Linked DNA regions of Tribolium castaneum. The protein of the gene in region 2 purifies or fractionates together with the protein of the main gene of each other region. This does not show direct contact. Links are inferred from orthologs where the notes say so. Each region holds a gene or a part of one and is shown on either strand. Other genes may lie near its edges. The genes, in order: protein-L-histidine N-pros-methyltransferase and proton-coupled zinc antiporter SLC30A2.

What was found.
Region 1: the proteins of proton-coupled zinc antiporter SLC30A2 (region 2) and protein-L-histidine N-pros-methyltransferase purify together in Homo sapiens (co-immunoprecipitation; 3 studies listed by BioGRID and IntAct, with this or other methods). This does not show direct contact. The link is inferred for Tribolium castaneum from reciprocal best matches to the Homo sapiens genes SLC30A2 and METTL9.

Annotation. Positions count from the first base shown.
Region 1 is NC_087394.1:24,601,540-24,611,546, reverse strand, and holds the start of protein-L-histidine N-pros-methyltransferase, read right to left. Parts: upstream 6,638-10,007; 5' UTR 6,393-6,637; coding exon 6,222-6,392; intron 5,735-6,221; exon of another isoform or gene 5,653-5,734; coding exon of another isoform or gene 5,614-5,652; intron 1-5,613. UniProt on the Homo sapiens protein: Protein-histidine N-methyltransferase that specifically catalyzes 1-methylhistidine (pros-methylhistidine) methylation of target proteins.
Region 2 is NC_087403.1:6,930,921-6,940,339, forward strand, and holds proton-coupled zinc antiporter SLC30A2, read left to right. Parts: upstream 1-4,184; 5' UTR 4,185-4,372; coding exon 4,373-4,407; intron 4,408-4,454; coding exon 4,455-4,645; intron 4,646-4,791; coding exon 4,792-4,902; intron 4,903-4,950; coding exon 4,951-5,251; intron 5,252-5,296; coding exon 5,297-5,453; intron 5,454-5,501; coding exon 5,502-5,742; intron 5,743-5,791; coding exon 5,792-5,934; 3' UTR 5,935-6,014; downstream 6,015-9,419. Other genes in the region: NKAIN (sodium/potassium-transporting ATPase subunit beta-1-interacting protein), read right to left, coding at 1-308, 1,242-1,302, 1,356-1,523, 2,002-2,085, 2,138-2,275, 2,330-2,383.

The DNA.
Region 1 (10,007 bases), on a different chromosome or scaffold from region 2:
TTTCACTGGAGGGTTTTGAGGCGAAAGACAGGATTGAGTTGGGTGACTGGATTTGGTTTAATTAGTGGCAAGATGACGGGCGATTTTAATTCAAATTATGTACACTATAGCGCAGCTTACAAACGTACAAATTACATTTCAACCATTGTCAAGTCGGTACTGTAAAATGTTACCTTTTTTCTTCTCTTATTTACGTTTATTTATTTATTTATATACGTATGTATTTATTTATCGGGCTGTCTGTCAGACTTGTAATTTAGTGTGACTGTGTTTAGGTCTTATTGTAATCGTGAAAAGTGTTGACGTCACTTCAATATCGCCCGTCTGTCAGAACGCTTTTGTTCATTTTCTTAATGCAGCTACTGGCTTAGCTCACTTTTGAGCTTTCAGCTACTGGATTCCACATAGATTGACTCGCTGATGCCCACTTGTCTAGTGCTTGACATCCACGACCATGGTGGGAAACGTATCCTGCACCCATTACCAGCATTTTCACTCTTTTATAAACCACCAAAGTGCTGTTTTCCGAAATCAAAAACCCGAGGGAATGAAACCTCATTTTCTTATTTTTAGCAAGAAATGAGAACGAAATTCGGAATGACAAATTGATATTACTTGAAAAAAATAGCAAAGCGATTTAATAACAAAGAGTTTTTCGATGTGGGGTACTGGGGAAAATAGTTGCAGTGGAATAAGAGGAATATTTTTTCTTTTGGTTCTTTTGCAGAATCGTAATGCCAGAATGGATTTTAGTTCTCGCCCTTATTATAAATAACTTATCTGAATAAAGAATGCACGTTTGGAACACGTTTTGGTACTCGCATCTCGTCTCGTATATTCGATTCTTGCAAGGGGTCCGAGTATTTTACTTCGGTCGCAATCAAAATGTGATCGAGCGCGCCGCGAGGTATTCCGAAATACATAAATTCCCATATATTGTGAGAGAGAAGCAACCCCCTCAGTTCCACCCTTAAGTAAAAATATATGTATCGAGTATTGGAATCGAATCCCGTGCCTGACACTCTGATACATTTTAAATTCACATTCGTAAGTACGGAAAATAAGTCTGATAGCGCGTCGGGAGAGAACGCCAGGGCCTTTGTTTCCGTTATTAAGCCCAGCCATTTTTCCATTTCCCGTCTTTTCTTCTCTTGCGTTTTGTTGTTGTATTTCATACGAATCCGCCTTGATTAGTTTCGCCTCCCGGCCTCTTTTCCGCCTCCTTGAATCATGCCTCGACGAAATTTATTCCAATACTTGTTGTTTACAAGACATTAGCCATATCGACTCTCTCTTATACAATCAAAGGAGAACAAACTGCATTCGACAACAACTACAATTAATCTAGAGAGAATTTTCAGACTCGAGAAACGACCATCATTCGTCTGCCAGACCAAAACTAAGCTCATTCCGGATTTTGCAATACATAGTTAAATGTGTGCACGTTTTGTCGTGTCAGCTCGCAATTCACGCATCATCGTGAATGTTTAATACAAGTCGCTCGGTGTTTTTCTCCAAAACCCTTATGTGAACGTGGCACATGCAAGGAGAAACTGGCGAGTGTGTGTGTCTCCCGGAGCCGTCCTCCTCCCTTTCCGGTCCCCGGATGCAAACGAGCTCCGAGATAGAGGCAAGAGACACCGGAGATCGAACGGTGATCGACTCGATGCACCTTCAGGATGCAGATTTGTGACGTTTAACGCGGTATAAACGACACTGGCTGTCTCACAGTCTCGTTTCGCATCCGTTTCAGCTTCAGATTTTCATCATCTAATATTCAGTCGAGTTTTATGTGGAAAAATGACGACCGAATTAAAAGGTGTGTGAGAAGAATGTCGAACCATTCAGAAAGTTAATTTATCCGTCTAGCGAGTTAATGAGATCCCGTAATTTTGGCTGTCGTAGTTAGTAAATAAAATAATTAGCGCCGGTCCGGCCCTGGATTATTTATAAAGTCGGGTGTTAACAGAAGAGACGGCGGGCACCTCCCATTCGTACCCTTTGAAATATGATTTTAATTAAGTTCTCATTATTTATGTTGATGAGGAGGCGAAGATAAGTGCAATGTTAATAACAATCATAACTCCGAACGGTAGCAAATAGTGGATGGAACGGGCCGGAATGCCATCGAGGCGGACCTGATAATTAAAACGGTCGGAATCCGGTCGGATTGTCGGGATCTGATATAGACCGTGTTTACATACCTGCCGACCGGCGATTTATTCATTTAATATTTAAATGGGATTACTACCGAAGGGAATTGGCGACCAGGTAGCCCACTATCGATGCTAATTCTCTCCGACAACTTGTTGGCTTGTTGGACACGAGCCGGCCCTGTTCTCGACGCGTTTACATTCTTCACGCACGCTTCACGACGGAAATATCAGGCAGGGACTTACCGAATTTTCGGCACGAAGAAAAAAACAGAAAATCGATTTAAAAACTATATTTTCTTCCTTCCTTCCACCCCACAAATGACAACTTCGTCTTTTAGACATGGAAAATGGAAATTTAACAATGAAACGTTATTAAGTACAAGTTGATGTGGACTCTTTTTATTTAACTTTTAACCTCTTCATTTTTCAAAGTCCAAGAAGTTACTACTTTTTTGTTTCCAAAAGGTTACAAATAAAGTGAAAAAAAGTTAAATATTTTTGTCTGATTACTTAATATGTAATTGCGAAAGGTTACTATCCAACACCAAAATGTCCCTTTGGACGAAAAAGTTTTTTGCGAAATTGAAGTTTTAAAAATGTTTTTCCTTAAAAGTCTGAGTATTTTTAAAAGAAGCTTGTCTCTTTTGTCGTTTGATGTACTGAGTTCAAATTTGAATCCCGCTGACGATCTTACTTTTTACTTTTTCAAGTAAATTTTGTGTGTGATGACGCGTGTGGTACAAGATACTTACATTTAATTTTTGGAATCTCCAATGACAATATACATATCTCCCGATTTGTCATAATAATAAAAACAACACACGCATATTATTATGACAAATCGGCAAAAAATTCAGAGAATCACATATTTTGTTTCAATGTTATAAGCTAGGAAAGCTTAGATACCGTACAAATTTTAAGTACATTTCTGACAAATCTTCAAATATTGATGATCGATGATAACATTTTGAAGAATTTTTTTTAAGAAATATTTAATAAACAAATCAGATAATATGCTACTAACTCTTTAATAAACTAATTTTATTGTTTCTCTTAAGAGGACACCTCCATTAACCAGACAAAAACGTGTCACAGTGGGTGTCCGTTTATTGGAGACTTCACTGTATTCAACTATCGCAAATCTCATAAATGTTTAAAATCTTCACATTCCAACTTAAATTTGATCACCTAATAATACTTGAAAATTGAAATTACATAGCATAATCAATAAATTTTCGGCCTTCAGATATCAAACGTGATTTTCCTAAATGTATCCAAACAAAAGGGTTTACTTACCCATTTCGTTTAAAGAAAGGAAAAATTGAAAATTTATTGAATAGTGTTTTATGTAATGGCCAGTAGATTTTTCATTTTTCGATTTTTTTCATTTTTGCATGCTCTCGTCACTATTAATTTATTCAAGCGTGCATCTCTCGGTCATTGTGAAATTCGGGTAGTAAGCGCGCGTGACAATTATGCGTTTTTTTGGAGGGAAGTTTGTCAAGGGACGTAGTTTACGAGCGGTCCCTAAGGTATGCTAACCTCCGGTTACGTACCTTCCCTTTTAGCTAGGCACTCAACGTGGCTCCCAGTCATAGTTCTATGCATCGCACGCCGCCACGCACCACTTCAACATATCGTTCGTCCTGATAATGTATTCGTATCGGGAAAAAGCTTCGCTACCGACCAGGAAAACGCATACGTTTCGTAATTTACACTTTGACGACGACGTTTCCGTCGAAGCAAAAGAAGGACTTTTGATGCCTGCGTGATGTATTCATGACGGGGGTTAACAAGAGTTTGTGTTCCCCAAATCTGACGCTACGATGAATATTTCAAGTTATTGCAGACGTTCGAAGAGGATACGAAGGGATTAAGGTGACGCTTTGTTTCTGCGAAAAGGGCGGCGGAGCAAAAATCGATGCTCAAAAAATAAAAGAATAAAAGATGAGATTTACACAATGCAAAATATCTAATGACAGGATACTATTGTTATTTTTATTCTGTACAAAAATTGCTTCAGCCCCAGAATAGCGTCTTGAAATTTCGAGTGATTAGTTTGTGTCAGTTGTTTCATTTTATGAAAATGTAGTTACTTGTGGCTATTTTTAAAGGATGCTGTCGTAAAGACGCTATTGTAATGGAATCAAAAAAGCAAAAATCGCTGTTAGCCGAGGCACCGCAATGGCATTGTATGCGATTTAAAATGCGGTCCCAATTAGAGCTTTTGAAGCTGTTATACATTGACGATCTTTTTGTTTTATCGCAAACATTTCGTAAACACAATCGCGATTATTCAGAGCCCGGCATATAATTGGCGTAAATAACGACCGGGCGCGCGTACGAAAAGAACCTTGAGACCCCTTTTTAAAAACTTATCCCGAAGAAGAATTGATCGCATTACAGAAAAATCTAAATCACAAATGATACAAAGGGAGTAAACTTTCTTATAAAAACTACATTCCATTGTACAAAATCCAGTTAACTCATTTCACAAGAGCGAGTCTCCTTTGCGAATTAAACATTCCGGATTGGAGCGAGCGGCAAATGTGAGATCGTGCTGATCATGGACCCGGACTGTATTCTTTTCTTTGAAGTATTTTAGGGAGCGGGCTCGGTAATGACGTTGCCGGAGTAATCCATGCATACACGGGCTCTGAAACTACCCCACACACACACATTCGGTTTCTTTTATTTTGCGAATCGCGAAAAGATTTGATGAAAATCCCCGGCTGCGAGGGGCGAGGGCCCAATCAGCGCCGAATTTAAGATCATTATCGAGCGTCGAACACCTCAAAAGGACGATTCAAACAAACGCTCGCGCCCCGAGATGGACCATTATCCGAAGGAAATCGATCGAAATGATAGCGCACAATGGAAAAATTTGCTCCCATACCCAAAAACAATTTTTAAAGGGTTTTTAAAGAAAAGACAGTATAACAAAAATGTACATTCTTTACTTTCTAATTTTTTTTTCATCAATTAGGTACTACTTTATTTCTTCTCGCATCCCTAAGCGGCTTCTTATGGATTAGTCCGTTATGACACAAATACCAAAAATAGAATTGCAAAAATTATACACCCAATAAGAAAGTGTTTTACTGATCGGTTTTATAAAAACTGCTAATTAAGTAAATTAGCTTTATTAATTAGGTACTATTATTTTTAGACCATCCGATTAAAAAAAAACAATAATTTTGTGGTTCCAAGTCAAGTTTTTATTTACAGAAAAAGGGTAATATTCAGTCGAGATATAGATTTTTTCGAGTATTGAAAAACTTCATTTTCTAGCAATTTAAATGCACAAACAGATAAATAAGACCCCACCAGATCTAAATTATGCAAAAGACAAAACGTGCGGTTTTATCGATATGAAATAACGCTCATTACAGTCACGATACTCTATTTACTCATATCCACCACGCCATCTCCGAAGAACTCCTAAAAAATTACCCACCTGGACACTCAACATGACCTTAGACTTCTCGAAAAGCATCTTCGTGAATCAAGTACCGCACAACAAACCATCATCACCTTGACTGAACAATAAATGTCTTAATCGTGGGATTCTGATAAGATAAGAAGTCATAAAACGAATTCTGGTTTGCCAAAAGCGGGCAAGTAACGAATTCCCTGTTTAGCAAATTGGTTTATTCGAAAACGTTTAATAAAAATATGCAGTTTATAAAATCCCCGATTGTGCGTCGTTGGTGTATCTGGGGAGTTTCGACGCAAAATTGAATCGGGACTCTATGCCCACGTCCTCCGAGTCGCCCCCGCCATAACCAACGTATCCATAAAATATTCACAAAGCAAATACTGATTTATTATTGAGTAATTGTTAATGATTGGTGGACGCTTTGATGACCTACACGTAAAGAAAATTGACGATAATTGGGTTTGCACAGCTACATGGATTATTTATGTAATCATTGTTCATAACGAGGGGAAAAGAAAGCAAAGAAACCGAACGAAAACGCTCGTTTTTCAATCTTGTTGAAAAAACCTAGGCAAGGGGCGATTTTCAGGCACAGCAAGCACACAATCATTAGCGTGTTTACTGACCTGGCTCTTGTCAAACTGACTCAGGAAGTGGTCCGTTTGCTGCTTCTCGTACAGAGCCCGCGCGAGGCCCCCACGAGGCTTAAAATTCAACGTGGGCCCTATGTCCTGATCGAGACAAAAATCACGATCCGGTCCTGATGAACTTTTGTAACAAACACCATCGTCCACCATCGCGGAAGAGTTGAATAAACAATGAATTTGATGACAGACAAAAGTGAGGTTATGCGGCACGAATTCACAAATTTACGCACTGAATTGTCTCAAGTAGTACAAAAATTGGTAGGTTTTGTAAAATCACAAAAAACGTATGTTAGGGTCAGGGAATTGGACACGTAGGAACGGTTTTAGAGCGTATTTGCTTTCACTTTTGACAGTTATAGAGTCATTGAGTTGGCAGCGCTGGATTTGAGATGACAAGAAACTACTAGGCGCGTAATTTGAATCAATTTTCGTGGGCTCGTTTTGATAAAAATGACTTGTCAGAATAATTAGATTAAATTCGAAAGTTGCATTGATCGTTTCGTGGAATTGTTCTTTAGAAATGAGCTGAGTAACAAGTTGTAATGAGTCTTTTGCAAGTAATTGCGTAATTGTCAAAAATATCTTCCATACATTACATTAATAACCGAGGTGAAAATCAGTTTTGAGCGAGAGCCGAGGTCCATTAACAAAAACCAGTAGCACGATGTTAATTTGAAAGAGATTTTCTTTTTTGTTCCTCGATGGACGTATTATGAAGCAGTGGCTAATGTACAGGTCTACCAGATGGAATTACAATTCACATTAATCTCAATTGTTCGGGGAGAAAATAAAGAAGACGACGTTGGTTCATTTCGGTAGCCAAACAAGAGCGACTTAAAGTTAATTAAGAATGAAATTATGACTGTATGCAGTTTGAGTGCAAAGTGTTGAAAATTGAAATTTTAATTAATCTTGGGCAAGACGAAGAGGGGCAAAAAGCTTTCATTAAGACGTGACTGGAGGAAATCGTGTCCGAGGAAAAAACCGACATTGAGTTTCGAGTAATTTAAATTTAATTATAATCCGAAATTTATACACAAACAAAAATCCAATTAAAACGGCGGAATTAAATTCGAGAAACGTTTTAACACGCGAAATCTCTAAATCGCATAAAAATTATCCGTGCGCATGATACTTTATTAGTGTCGAGACGTCGGCGAGGAAAACCGACCCAACTTACCGGACCCTTAAGGGCCGGAATTCCTTAAGGATTTTCCCGGTTTTTTAAATTGCATCGTGTAATTTCTACTCGAGTATAAATGAGGTTTTTTAATTGGAAATCCGAGCTGCGATCCGGAGGGACAAGAGGGCGTATAGTTAGCGATTTATTTTAATGAGAGTTTCGTTTCTTACGCCGAATCGCATGCCAAGTAGTCCAATAACGAAATATTATTACAATCGCTCTTTGCAGCTTTTATTGCCCTTTTTTCATTCGACGGTAATGAACGTCGTAAAATCCTATTAAAATCGTTGATGTGCCGGGGAAACTCCTTAATATAAGCCCCCACACAAATTATTTTACCTAATTCTCACGGAATCGATACGAGGTGGAGCTTTTTCGTGATCTTTTACTACATCGAAAATAAATTATTATCAAATGTTTGGATAAGCAATATTTTTATTGATGTCACAGCATTTCGTCATATCACGACCATATCAATCGAATATTGATTCCAACCCCAATCTGTCAACCTTCAACACCGCCGCCAACAACCTATGAAAACAAAAAAAAAACAGTGGACAAACGAAATCGTAATTCCCACAGCGTTTCAAAAGTAATCATAAAACCGTAGGATCCCAAAAATATTTTTATTTTTTTCGGACATTGAACTTGTCTTGTATTGAAGGCTACTTGTTACATTTGATTAAACTTAAAATACATCCTTGGGTTCCTTTTACCGTATTTTTATTGAAATAACGCAAGAACAACTTAAGATTCTAATAAAAACCTCGTTACAGCGTTCCATCAATTCATAATTCCCGTTCGTATCGAATCAAAAAAAACCTCCTCGTGTTTTTCGATTAATTACAAATTCCGTGAATATTTCCTAAATGTTCGCCACTTTCGAACAATTTTAAAAGCGACAAAAAATTGTCATTAAGCACATGAAGGTTATTAAAAGACTTTTTACAATGCACCAATTAGTCGCTGGCTACATTATTGTTCCGTGAATAATTCAAAAATGACAATTGAGTGAAATTTTTTGCGCGACACTTAATAATGGAAAAATAATAAATATTACCGTACACTTCCTCCTCATTGTAATAATTATTGTCGGAAAGAAATACGCTGCTTACGTAACCGATTTATGTACGTTGGAAATTTTGTGGTGAATTATCTGCAGGAGTTCACCCGCGGAGCTTTCTCTCATATCGAGGATTTATGCGACGAGGAGTGGAAAGGCGAACTTGAGGAGCAACGAGATTTTTTGTTTTTGTAAGACATGTGAAACAAAAAAATGCAAATAGAGCAGATCAACAATAATGACGAGAAAGTTAAAAGTGATGAAATTGGTTTAAGAATAATTAAACACTCAAAAACTTTGCATAGTTTAACAAGCTGAATGCTCTGACGCAAATTAATTTAATTCTAATCTCAAAAGTGATCGAAAAAGTGCCCCAAATCGCTTTCATATACTTATTGTAATGGTTGATGGTCAGTTAGCCACCCATTATTAAAAGATCTACTTATTATTCTTGACAGCAAGCAATGTTTCTTGCATCGTTCCGGTTCGTGAAAACAAGTAAGTCTTTATTATGTAAAATATGGAGAAAGTTCGGTGAGTTATGTTATCGGCTGCACCCTGTATATAGGAGTGCACTTAATTGTGTGAAAATCCCTGAAATTAGTCTTCAGCTTTACTAATTCAATTTCGAGTAAGTTGCGTGTTCCGATCGGATTTAATTGCTTAACGATTGCTCCGAGTGCTTTAAACTCTGTCATTATAATTAATCAAGAGAGTAAAACATAAAAAGCCGACGTTAAATGGCATTCCAGAAGTGCACTTTACGAAATTAAATTTCTGGTCTGAGGAAGGATTGCCCGTATTTATTAAAAAAGTAACAACAGGTACAATATCATAATTTAGCTGTAATTTTATAAAATTATAATACTACTTTTTGAGAATACTTTTTTATTTTTTTATACAAGGTTTGTCAGAAATACGCGTGTTAATTTTAACAGGTAACAGAGTTCAACAAATAAAAGATTTTTTCTATTTGTATTTTTTCAATAAAATTATAGTACTAAACTATCGTAAACTAAACTCTTGTTTTTTCAAAAGTGTGTTTAAAAACGTTAGGTTATATCGGTGTGCCAAAAGTCTCTGGAAATGGATATAGTGGTCTTATTGACCGCTAAAAATAAATAAGTAAAAAATAATAGAAAAATAGAAAAATAATAGAAAATAGAAAAATAATAGACCTGACCTGACCTGACCTGACCGCTAAAAATAAATAAATAAAAAATAGAAAATAATAGAAAAAAATCATTGCTCCTTATTTAAGATGCAGCAGCTCGTCAAAATTGGAATTGTAGGAAAATCAAACTTGTTAGCTTTGTTTTTAATGATTTATTTTAATGTTTACTTGACTTATTATCAATTTTTTCAAAAAGAATTAGGAAATCATTTCTTTTGGTTTTTAAAATGAGTTAAAAATACCAGTTTAAAAGTGCAGCAACATTTAGTAATGTTACCATGGTAATACTTTTGGTAAATATTTTTCTAAACATATAAAAATAGGTACACTTGTACGGCGTTGCCA
Region 2 (9,419 bases):
TTGCTGCTGCTCCAACAAACGCGTAACTGGGTTTTGCGTCATCCTACGGGAGCTTCTTGTGGACGAGCGTGCGGTCGAATGTCTTCTGCTACTGCTGCTGATGGTGCTGTGTCTGCCGGAGGAACCCCTTGTCATGACACTACGGCGCTTTACTCTTCGAGGTGTCATCGGCTTTGGGGAAACTGGTTGCGGCAAATGCTCGTTATCGAACTCGTTATCACTGTCATGACGGTTCTCCAGCTGAGAGCTAAATTCGATTGAGTAGAGAGACATTCGTTTTGTGTTTTTTCGTGACGATTTACGTGATGCTGCCAAAAAAGCCGATTCTTAGTTTCGAGAAATGCCGAGGCACAATAATACAATTCAACGTCAAAACAAAAATTATAATTTATTTGTTAATCAACAAACATGCACTAGCTACCACAAGCTAAACAGTCATGTTAATGCCAACTTTTCGTTAGTCATAATCCAATCCAAATATATTAACGCCAGTTATTACCATTTAAACAAAACAAAAACAATAATGACTAGAAACAAAACGTTCCAGCAGAGACAACGCTACCATCTTATGTAAAAATAAATTGTGCTCTTCCAGAAAATCAATAGCAGTTGTGTTTGCTGGGTTGTTATTAAATGCAAAGTCTTAAAAGTTGAGATCTGAATCGAAATAAGGTCTGGCGGCGATTGACTTGGGCCTAGGTGAGCGTTTGCGTTTTGGTGCATTTAAGGCGTTAAAGGAAGTACTGCGTTGTATGTATCTTATAGTGTCAGCACGTAAAGGATTTTTGTTTTTGCCCGCATGCTTACGGCACTGCGGGCAAGTCTGTGAAACAGAAGCGTTCGACTTTACATTTAATTTAGTGTTAGGTTTGGAAAAATGCTGATTAAGGCCATCACTGGTGCTCACGTACATCGGATGTAAAGAAAAATATTCAGGACCTTTACCATCTTCATAATTAACTGAAAATAGAGTATCAAATAGCAACTACTACACTACAGGAAAGAATAATTTAAATTACAAAACACTAAGAAGAGTTTACCATTGCATCCCATTTACCACTTACCACACAGTTTGAGGATCAAATCCACCAATGAAATCAACTGCAAGCAGATTAATCATAAAATTATTGGCTGATTATAATGACATAACCAGCCAATTAAAAGTGAAGCTTTATTATACACAATGTGAGTTAGTAAAATACCTACAATCTACAAATAATACACGCACAAGGGCAACTTACAAGTATCATCTTCCTCTAAAAATATGCGACTTAAACAAATTCCAATCACAATTCCGATTAACTGAAAAATACAATAGATCAGTGTTTGTAACAAACAGTAAAGAACAAACATACAGAAGCCACACATTGTAACCCTGCCTGGAATATTTCAACGTGTACGTAATTTACAAGACAATTCTCACTAGCAGTCTGATAGGATTCACTCAAAATGCGCTTACATCCTGGTCCCTCGTTACTCCACCAGCTCTCACTCTTTGGGTCCAATTTGAGCACTTTATTAGTCTACAAAATTAGAAAACTGTATCGGGTGGCTAGAAAAAAGTGAACCCTGTTTAAGGCCTCACTCCTTATTTATTGCTGCCAAAGATATTAGGATTTAAACAGAACTCGTTTTTGCATTTTTTTAATAAAAGTTAAAAAACATTTTATATATTTTTTTATTTTTTTGCTTTTAAGTTTTTACTTATTCTCTTTAGGGAGTAAGTAACTACATAAAATTGCATTGTCACCTAGATTACGTAAGTATGCAAAATTTCAATTCATTCGAACAACGGGAAATTTGGCTCGAAAATATGAAACAAAAGTAAAAAGAAAATGAACACTTCTTACAACAGAGACTATAGACTAAAAGCACTATTAAATATTTTAGATTACGAAAAATGTAATTACACAATCTGACCAAAATTTTGCAAATAAAAAATCGTGATTGTTTAACTTTCCTGCAGTCATTTTTTAAAGTTATGGCGCATGACTGTTATACCTTATGGTCCAAGTTGGCTACATCTAAATATAAACAAATGATGAAAACGTTCCAACCCAACCAGAAAAGGTGCCACAAAATGTACTAAAATAAACAAAGTCGTACAATTGTTGAAGGAAAACCAGCAAATACTCACCGATATGATATATTTAGGCCGATATTGATATGCACCAAAAAATCCCAGTATTATGAAAATAATTTCAAAGAAGTTCACAAGAATTGGTATCCACAAAAATCCCAGAAAATCAAACACCTGCCTCTCGATAACTGATAACTAAATGGAAGTTTGCCAATTACAATATCAAAAGAACAATGAAACGAGCCTTACCATTTGTAAGAGACAAACTGATAAAAAAAAGTATCTTCTTGAGCAAAATCCCATGACATTTAGCCTTTTCCTGGTTGATCTTTCGTTAAACCTTTTTACAACAGCCTAGACAACGCAAAAACCACCCACTTAACCATCATCATTATTTAAATAAAAAAATTCGTAAACAATTACACACAACAGAAAAAACTTGAGTCTAAGCTACACTACTTTACACTTTTATTTGACATTTCACTCAAGTCACTAAAACGGCTGCCCGTGAGAGAGAAATATCCCCAAATATTCAAAAAATGTTGTAAGTTTGAAGCGGGACGTCACAGACACTCATACTGTAAATCTCCGCAGCGTTTTTTAAGTTCTTTTGGCGTAATTTAATAACATTAGTTCGAGTGTTTTGCCGGAATTTCACTTTCCTCAAGTATACTCCCGTGCTACTCGTGAAGACCACTGGTGTATTGATGTAAAGACGGTGACGGTTCAAAGAACCGGCGCGAAGCTTTAAATATTTCACCAAAACGTAGGCCGTCAGAGCCAAAAACAAGAGAAAAGAAAAAATTGCCACATAATTTAGTACAGAAAGCACCATGAAGCTTTGCTTCATGCATAGCTCGCATTTTTGACACAATCACCTGTAGACTGGATGTGAAGGTTTGTTTACCTCATCGTCATGGAAACAACAAATTATTTAATCAATTATTGAACATTTCTCACTTGAATTATTGAAACGTACTGTTGAAGTAATTTATTTAAACAAAGATATGCAATAAACACAAGAAATAATCACGACTGTTTTTTTTTTAATTGTGTTCCTCTACCGTTCCTTTTACGTAATTATACTAGTTTTTTACAATATTATAAACGGTGATTTTTCTAATTTTCGTCGAGATTTTTGTTGATTTTTGGTACTCGGAACATTTAGGTTGAAATAACTCCGGAACTGTTAGAGAAAACCCTATAAGTTTATCTATCTTTATTCTGCAGTTCATAGTTTAAAAAAAAGCTTCATAACTAAAAAACTATTCAAAATTTGGCGATCTTTTTAATGCCAATCGATTCCCCGGGTCATTTTACATAGGTTTAGGCTAAAATAGTTCCACTTTGTCCAATAATTTTGCCATAATTAAGAAAAACATTGAATTCTTTATTTTCAATAAGTTGGATAACTTGGACTTTTTCAGTGATTATTTTTGGTATTTTATTATTATTATTAAAAAAAAGACTTTATCTGGTCAAATTTTTATAGAAAAAAACGGGTTTTTTGTTTTGTAAACGTGCAGAGTTTATTCTTTCACGACAAAATGCCCCAGTATATCAGAAACTTGAATCACTTGTTTTTTTGGTTTACTAATTTATTGACAAAACACGTCCACTCATATAAAAATGTCATACCATAAATATGTACAAAGCGAAAGTAAAACTTGAGTTGAAAAAAGATGAATTCCCGCCTCTACGTATAGCATTACAGTTTTCTTTATAATATAAGTTATTTTAGTCTTAGATGCTTCTAAGAGATGTCACTAAATTTATACTACTATATGTAATTTTCAAATATTCATTTAAGGGTCGTAAGACCCTTAATATCTAGTAATTAATAATTCTCAGTTTGATAGTGATTGGAAATAGATATATCTAAATGATTTTCAATCCGTCTCTTGATTTATATCATATATAATTATTTCTGGTTTCTGGAGAAAAAAAACAGTTAATGCAACAACGATTACCAATTAGAAATCACTGTCTAGGTGGATTAATGGGTATATTTTATAGGTGATTTATTAAAAATTAGTCGAGTGATTGAATCTGATAAGCGCAGATTAGAAACACTCTTTAGAAATCAACGTCTTGTTTGTATTTATTCAACTAGGTACCTACTTGAAATAGATAAGAAACTGTCGGGCCGGGTGCACAAACACTCCTTAGTTCACAAAGATAACAATAACTTATTGCCCAGAAACTGAACATGAACATATTCTGACATTCTGAGATTAATCCGTGCCCACGTAAATGAAAAACAAACTGGCAAGTGGTTGAATAGCCATAAAAATGCAGGATGAAAACGAAAATAAGTCTCTTCTATTGTAAGTATCTCAAAACTCTGGTATCTCGCGATAGTATTTATTTCTAGTTTAAATAATAGTAACAAATACGGAGCAATGCACAGTGACAGTAGCGGCACTCCTAAAAAAGTGATATTTTGTGTTCATGGAAAACCAAGTGCTGGTTGCTGCAAAGTTTTACAAAGTGAAGTCATCGACATCAAAGAGGGAGATTCGGTTGATACACCGACCAAAGAAAATCAGGATGCCACCGAAATGAGTAAGTTGTCGGCCGCTTATCACACGATAAGCACCAAATGATTTCACAGCAAACAGGCTGAACAAAAAGTAGCAGACTAGCCTACGTTCTTCAAAAATTATTTTCCCAATTAATTAAAAAATACTGTATTTGCCGTCTTTTTTCAGTTAATAAACATTGCCATCGAGGGAAATCTCCGGAAATTGATCGCAAAGCTAGGCGAAAATTAATTGTAGCTAGTGTATTATGTGTACTTTTCATGATCGGAGAAGTTATAGGTGGGTAAATTATTCATTGTTATTTTGGCTTTAATTTTCCGAGTTTAGGTGGCTACCTGTCAAATAGCTTGGCAATAGCCTCTGATGCCGCTCACCTTCTTACCGACTTTGCGAGTTTTATGATATCTCTGTTTGCCTTATGGATGGCAACTAGGCCCTCCACCAAGACAATGCACTTTGGGTGGTACCGCGCTGAAGTGATAGGTGCTCTGACTTCCGTCCTACTAATTTGGGTAGTTACTGGAATACTGGTCTACATTGCCGTACAAAGAGTCATCCATAAGTCCTTTGATATCGATAGTAAAGTAATGCTAATCACCTCCGGTATCGGCGTTATTGTGAACTTAATGTGAGTAAATTGCTCTAACTAGCTAAGCTCCATGGTAATTTTCAGAATGGGTTTAACACTCCACCAACATGGGCATTCCCATGGAGGTGGTAGCACACATTCCCACGATAACATCAACGTCAGAGCGGCTTTTATTCACGTTATCGGCGACTTTTTGCAAAGTTTTGGTGTTTTCGTGGCCGCTGCTGTGATTTATTTCAACGTAATTGGGAAAAAACGCTAAATTATTTTTACGAAATTGTAATTTCAGGAACAATGGGTCATAATTGACCCCATCTGTACCTTCATTTTTTCAGTATTAGTGATGTTTACCACGTTCAATATTATCAAAGATACGTTAACAGTGCTGATGGAAGGAGCTCCCAAAGGAATTGATTTCAATCAAGTCATGAAAACGCTTCTAAATATAGAAGGAGTTAAAAGAGTTCATAACTTGAGAATATGGGGCCTAAGTTTGGATAAAATTGCAATGTCTGCTCATGTTGCTATTAGTAATATTTTACCGCAAATTGAATTTCACTATTAAAATTAACGCTCCAGGTCCTGATGTGAATCCACAAAATGTTTTAATGGTCGCTACTAAAAATATTCATGATAAATACAACTTCTTTGAGATGACACTGCAGATCGAGGAGTTCCAAGAGGCCATGGAAGACTGTAAAATGTGCCGAAATCCGGTATAAACATCATCCTTCACTAAATATTTATTAACAGTCATTATACTTATTCTATTACAAAAACCTAAACGAATTTACACATCCTACTGACGTGTTTTATTATCGCATGTATCCTTTCATTCCTCCACGTACTTAATCCTTAGATAAAAAATTCATAAGCGATTAGTTTCTAATTCTTTCTGATGACATTTTGTTCCAATTTAATTATTTGCAATAAAAAATAAAACCAGATGAATTGATATGATATAAAAATGTAATATGACATTCTTTTGGCTTGTGTAAATAAAGATGTTGAATTATTTATAATTGTAACGAGTTGCTCTTAAACTTTGTAAAGCTTTAAATTTAAACAGCATTATCGATAGTGTTACTATATATAAAAATGTCTTTTTTATAGCTTGTGAAAACAACTCAACATTTGAAAAAGTATAACGTCTAATAAAATCCTTTTTTATTTTTTGTTGTTTGGTAATAAATTTGTTTTTGGTTGTAACAAGTGCAATAAATCAGAGCAACATTTTACATTTATACGTACTTTACGTATAAAATATTCAACGCAAAAGGTCACTTGTATAGTTGTATGTTCCGTGCGAATTAAAATGTTTATTTGGACCTGACGCTTTTAATTTTCAAGGGTATAAATTGGGACGAAAACGTGCACTTTTTTAATTTTCAGTATTAAAAAGTAAAAAGGTAGGTTTTTAGTGTGTGGAATTTTGCGTACCTTTCTGTAAATCTTACGTAAGATAAAGTAAAATTGCATGGAAACACATTTTTATGTAAAAGAAGGTAAGTGTTTTACACGCGTTTGGTCTGCAAAAATTTGTATAATATTCACCTTGGCCAAGGTTGTTTTATAGGATAGGTACATTTAGTGTCCTCTGTCTGCAGAGTTCTAAGAAAAGAGATTTAAAGAAATCACCGGTTATCATCGAAATCCGATCAATGTTAATTATTGGGGTAACCACTAACCCAGAGGAAATAGGAATTAAGGAAACAGCAAATTAAAAATATATTTATGATCAGGAAATCTGCTTCATAATGACATTGAATTACGAGAAATTGGTAACATAGTCAAGGCTCTCATTAGGTTATACAAAATAATAATTTGCCCAGATTCTTCTTGGGACTCTAAACTACATATTTTAATTTTATAAGTGTACACAAAAACCAAATTAATAACACTGATTAAATTGTCCAGCAACCGTTGATTAAAAAATTTGCTATTTATTGCAACAAAAACTATTTCAAGGAAACTCATTTATATGCAATTATTTTTTCTGATAATTTACTTGCGATATGGGTTATTTTTGAAATTTCGCTTTTCTATTATCCTGAAATAATTGTTTATTACATTAAAAACGAACCAGCGATGAATGTACAAACACGCGTGCAGTAAATATTTAAATAGGTTATTCTAACTATTACATAAATATGGGTGACCAGTGGTAATGTTAAAAGATAATTTTTTTGGGCGATGGATATACAAGTATGCACTAAAGTTAGAGTCGAATGTGTGCAAGTAATAACAAACACAGCGTTATTGTTACTGTTAGACACATTTTTAATGTGTTTATATTAAAATTTCGCACTGATAATTTGAAATGAGGGCGTTTATTTTAAAATACGATAAACTAGAAAGTGGCCATAAAATTCAGTGTCACGTGTCATGTGATGTACAAAATAGATTATTAATTCATTGAACTGCTTAATATACATCGTAAAAGACTAGTTTCAGGGTAGGGTCAACGATATACTTTAATTTATATAATTAAGATACAGACAATGTCAAGATTTCTGACTCAAGCGAATGTCTCGCCAATTTAATTTTTGCAAAACCAATAATAACAGTAACGTGTTTTAAGATGTACTTGAGAATTAAAATAATTTACTAGCCATAATTATAAATAAACTCTTATTTTATTCTCCTATAATACTGTCTGTTTTACTCTGAAAGAACAGCCAAAATAGGTTTTATTAAAAAATAATGAAACGGTTTTGCCCTTCTATGACACTAATGGATTATAGTAATACTTGGTAAACTTATCAAAATAGCATCAGTTTATCAGCAAAGCAAACAAAACGTCGTCATGCTTTCGACGTAATTGTTACGCACTTTGTTCCTAAAAATCAAGAGCATTAATTAATAAGACGTTTATTCAATTTTTTTACGTCCGTATTTGCACGAAATTGGTTACGTGCAATTTTATTAAAAACTCGCCGATTTTCTGATTACGTTATAACTTACAATCATGGTATGAGCAAAATAATTGTGTACCTGACTACATTGCTTTAAAAATCATAATAACAAATAAAAACATTTCAATGAGTATTTTTCCAATGGAAGGTTATTGGAACAGAGAACGTGCAACAAGTGCAAAGTGCGAAAGAAAAAGATAAATTCATTGTATAACACAAATTGCAATCAGATATTTTGGTAAACTGCAACTTTGTACCGCTTTGTTAATTTGTTAACGGTTAGGTATTAGCCACTTTCACATTCACCAAATTAAACGTAAATGGGCCGTACTCCCACGATGCAAAAATAAATATTGGTTAATTAATTGTTATTATTTACGCGGAAATGTTTAATTTTTAATCAAAAAGAATGGTAAAAAATTTCTGAAAAATCACGTATATTATTATGGAGCAAAATAACAGATCACCTCGTATATTAATATTAATAATAAGCAAAGCGTTTGACAAAATTATGATTTTGAAATTGTAATATTTGTAGGTATTTTATTTATAACATATTTTTGTGGACCTACTTTAACGTTAATTAATAAACTGCAACTTCAGCGTTTTATTTTTAGCACATTATAGGTACATATTTTGCAATGATCATTATTATTAACCAATTGGAGTTTAACGACCTTAATTTATTGAGTGCATTTTTGCACCAAAACTATAAAATGTAAATAATAAAATGAGAATGTAATCACAAAAACAATTACACAAGTTCTACTGTGAGAACAGTAGAACGGGGGAGTTTTGTGTCCGCCTATTTTGAAAAAAACTCATTCAACTCGAAACATTTATCATTGTTATCAATAGCACACTTGACATTTTTGTAAATCCTTGTTTGAAATATGCTATTGTTTTTAATCAACGGAATCGCATCCGTTTTGATGATGCAATAAAGAAATCGCAAAATACGAATGATAAATTTTCCAATAATCAAAGTAAAAAATCTTTGATATTTGCATGACGTCATCAACTCACACCCATCACATCGCTAAAACCAATTACTACACACTTTCAGCAAAATATTTTATGCAAAACATTTGGGGATTACATAATCCAGTAATTACGAATCATTTTGTAACTTGAAAAACCTCGATGCCAATTTTCAAAAAAACGTTGCATATTTTAGTTGATCTTTGAGCTAAAATTACGCTACGTCATGTCATATGAATTTATAAAAACGCTAAATTAAACTATACATTTCCTGTTTTGAAAGAAAAATAAAAAAGGGACTAAAGTACAAC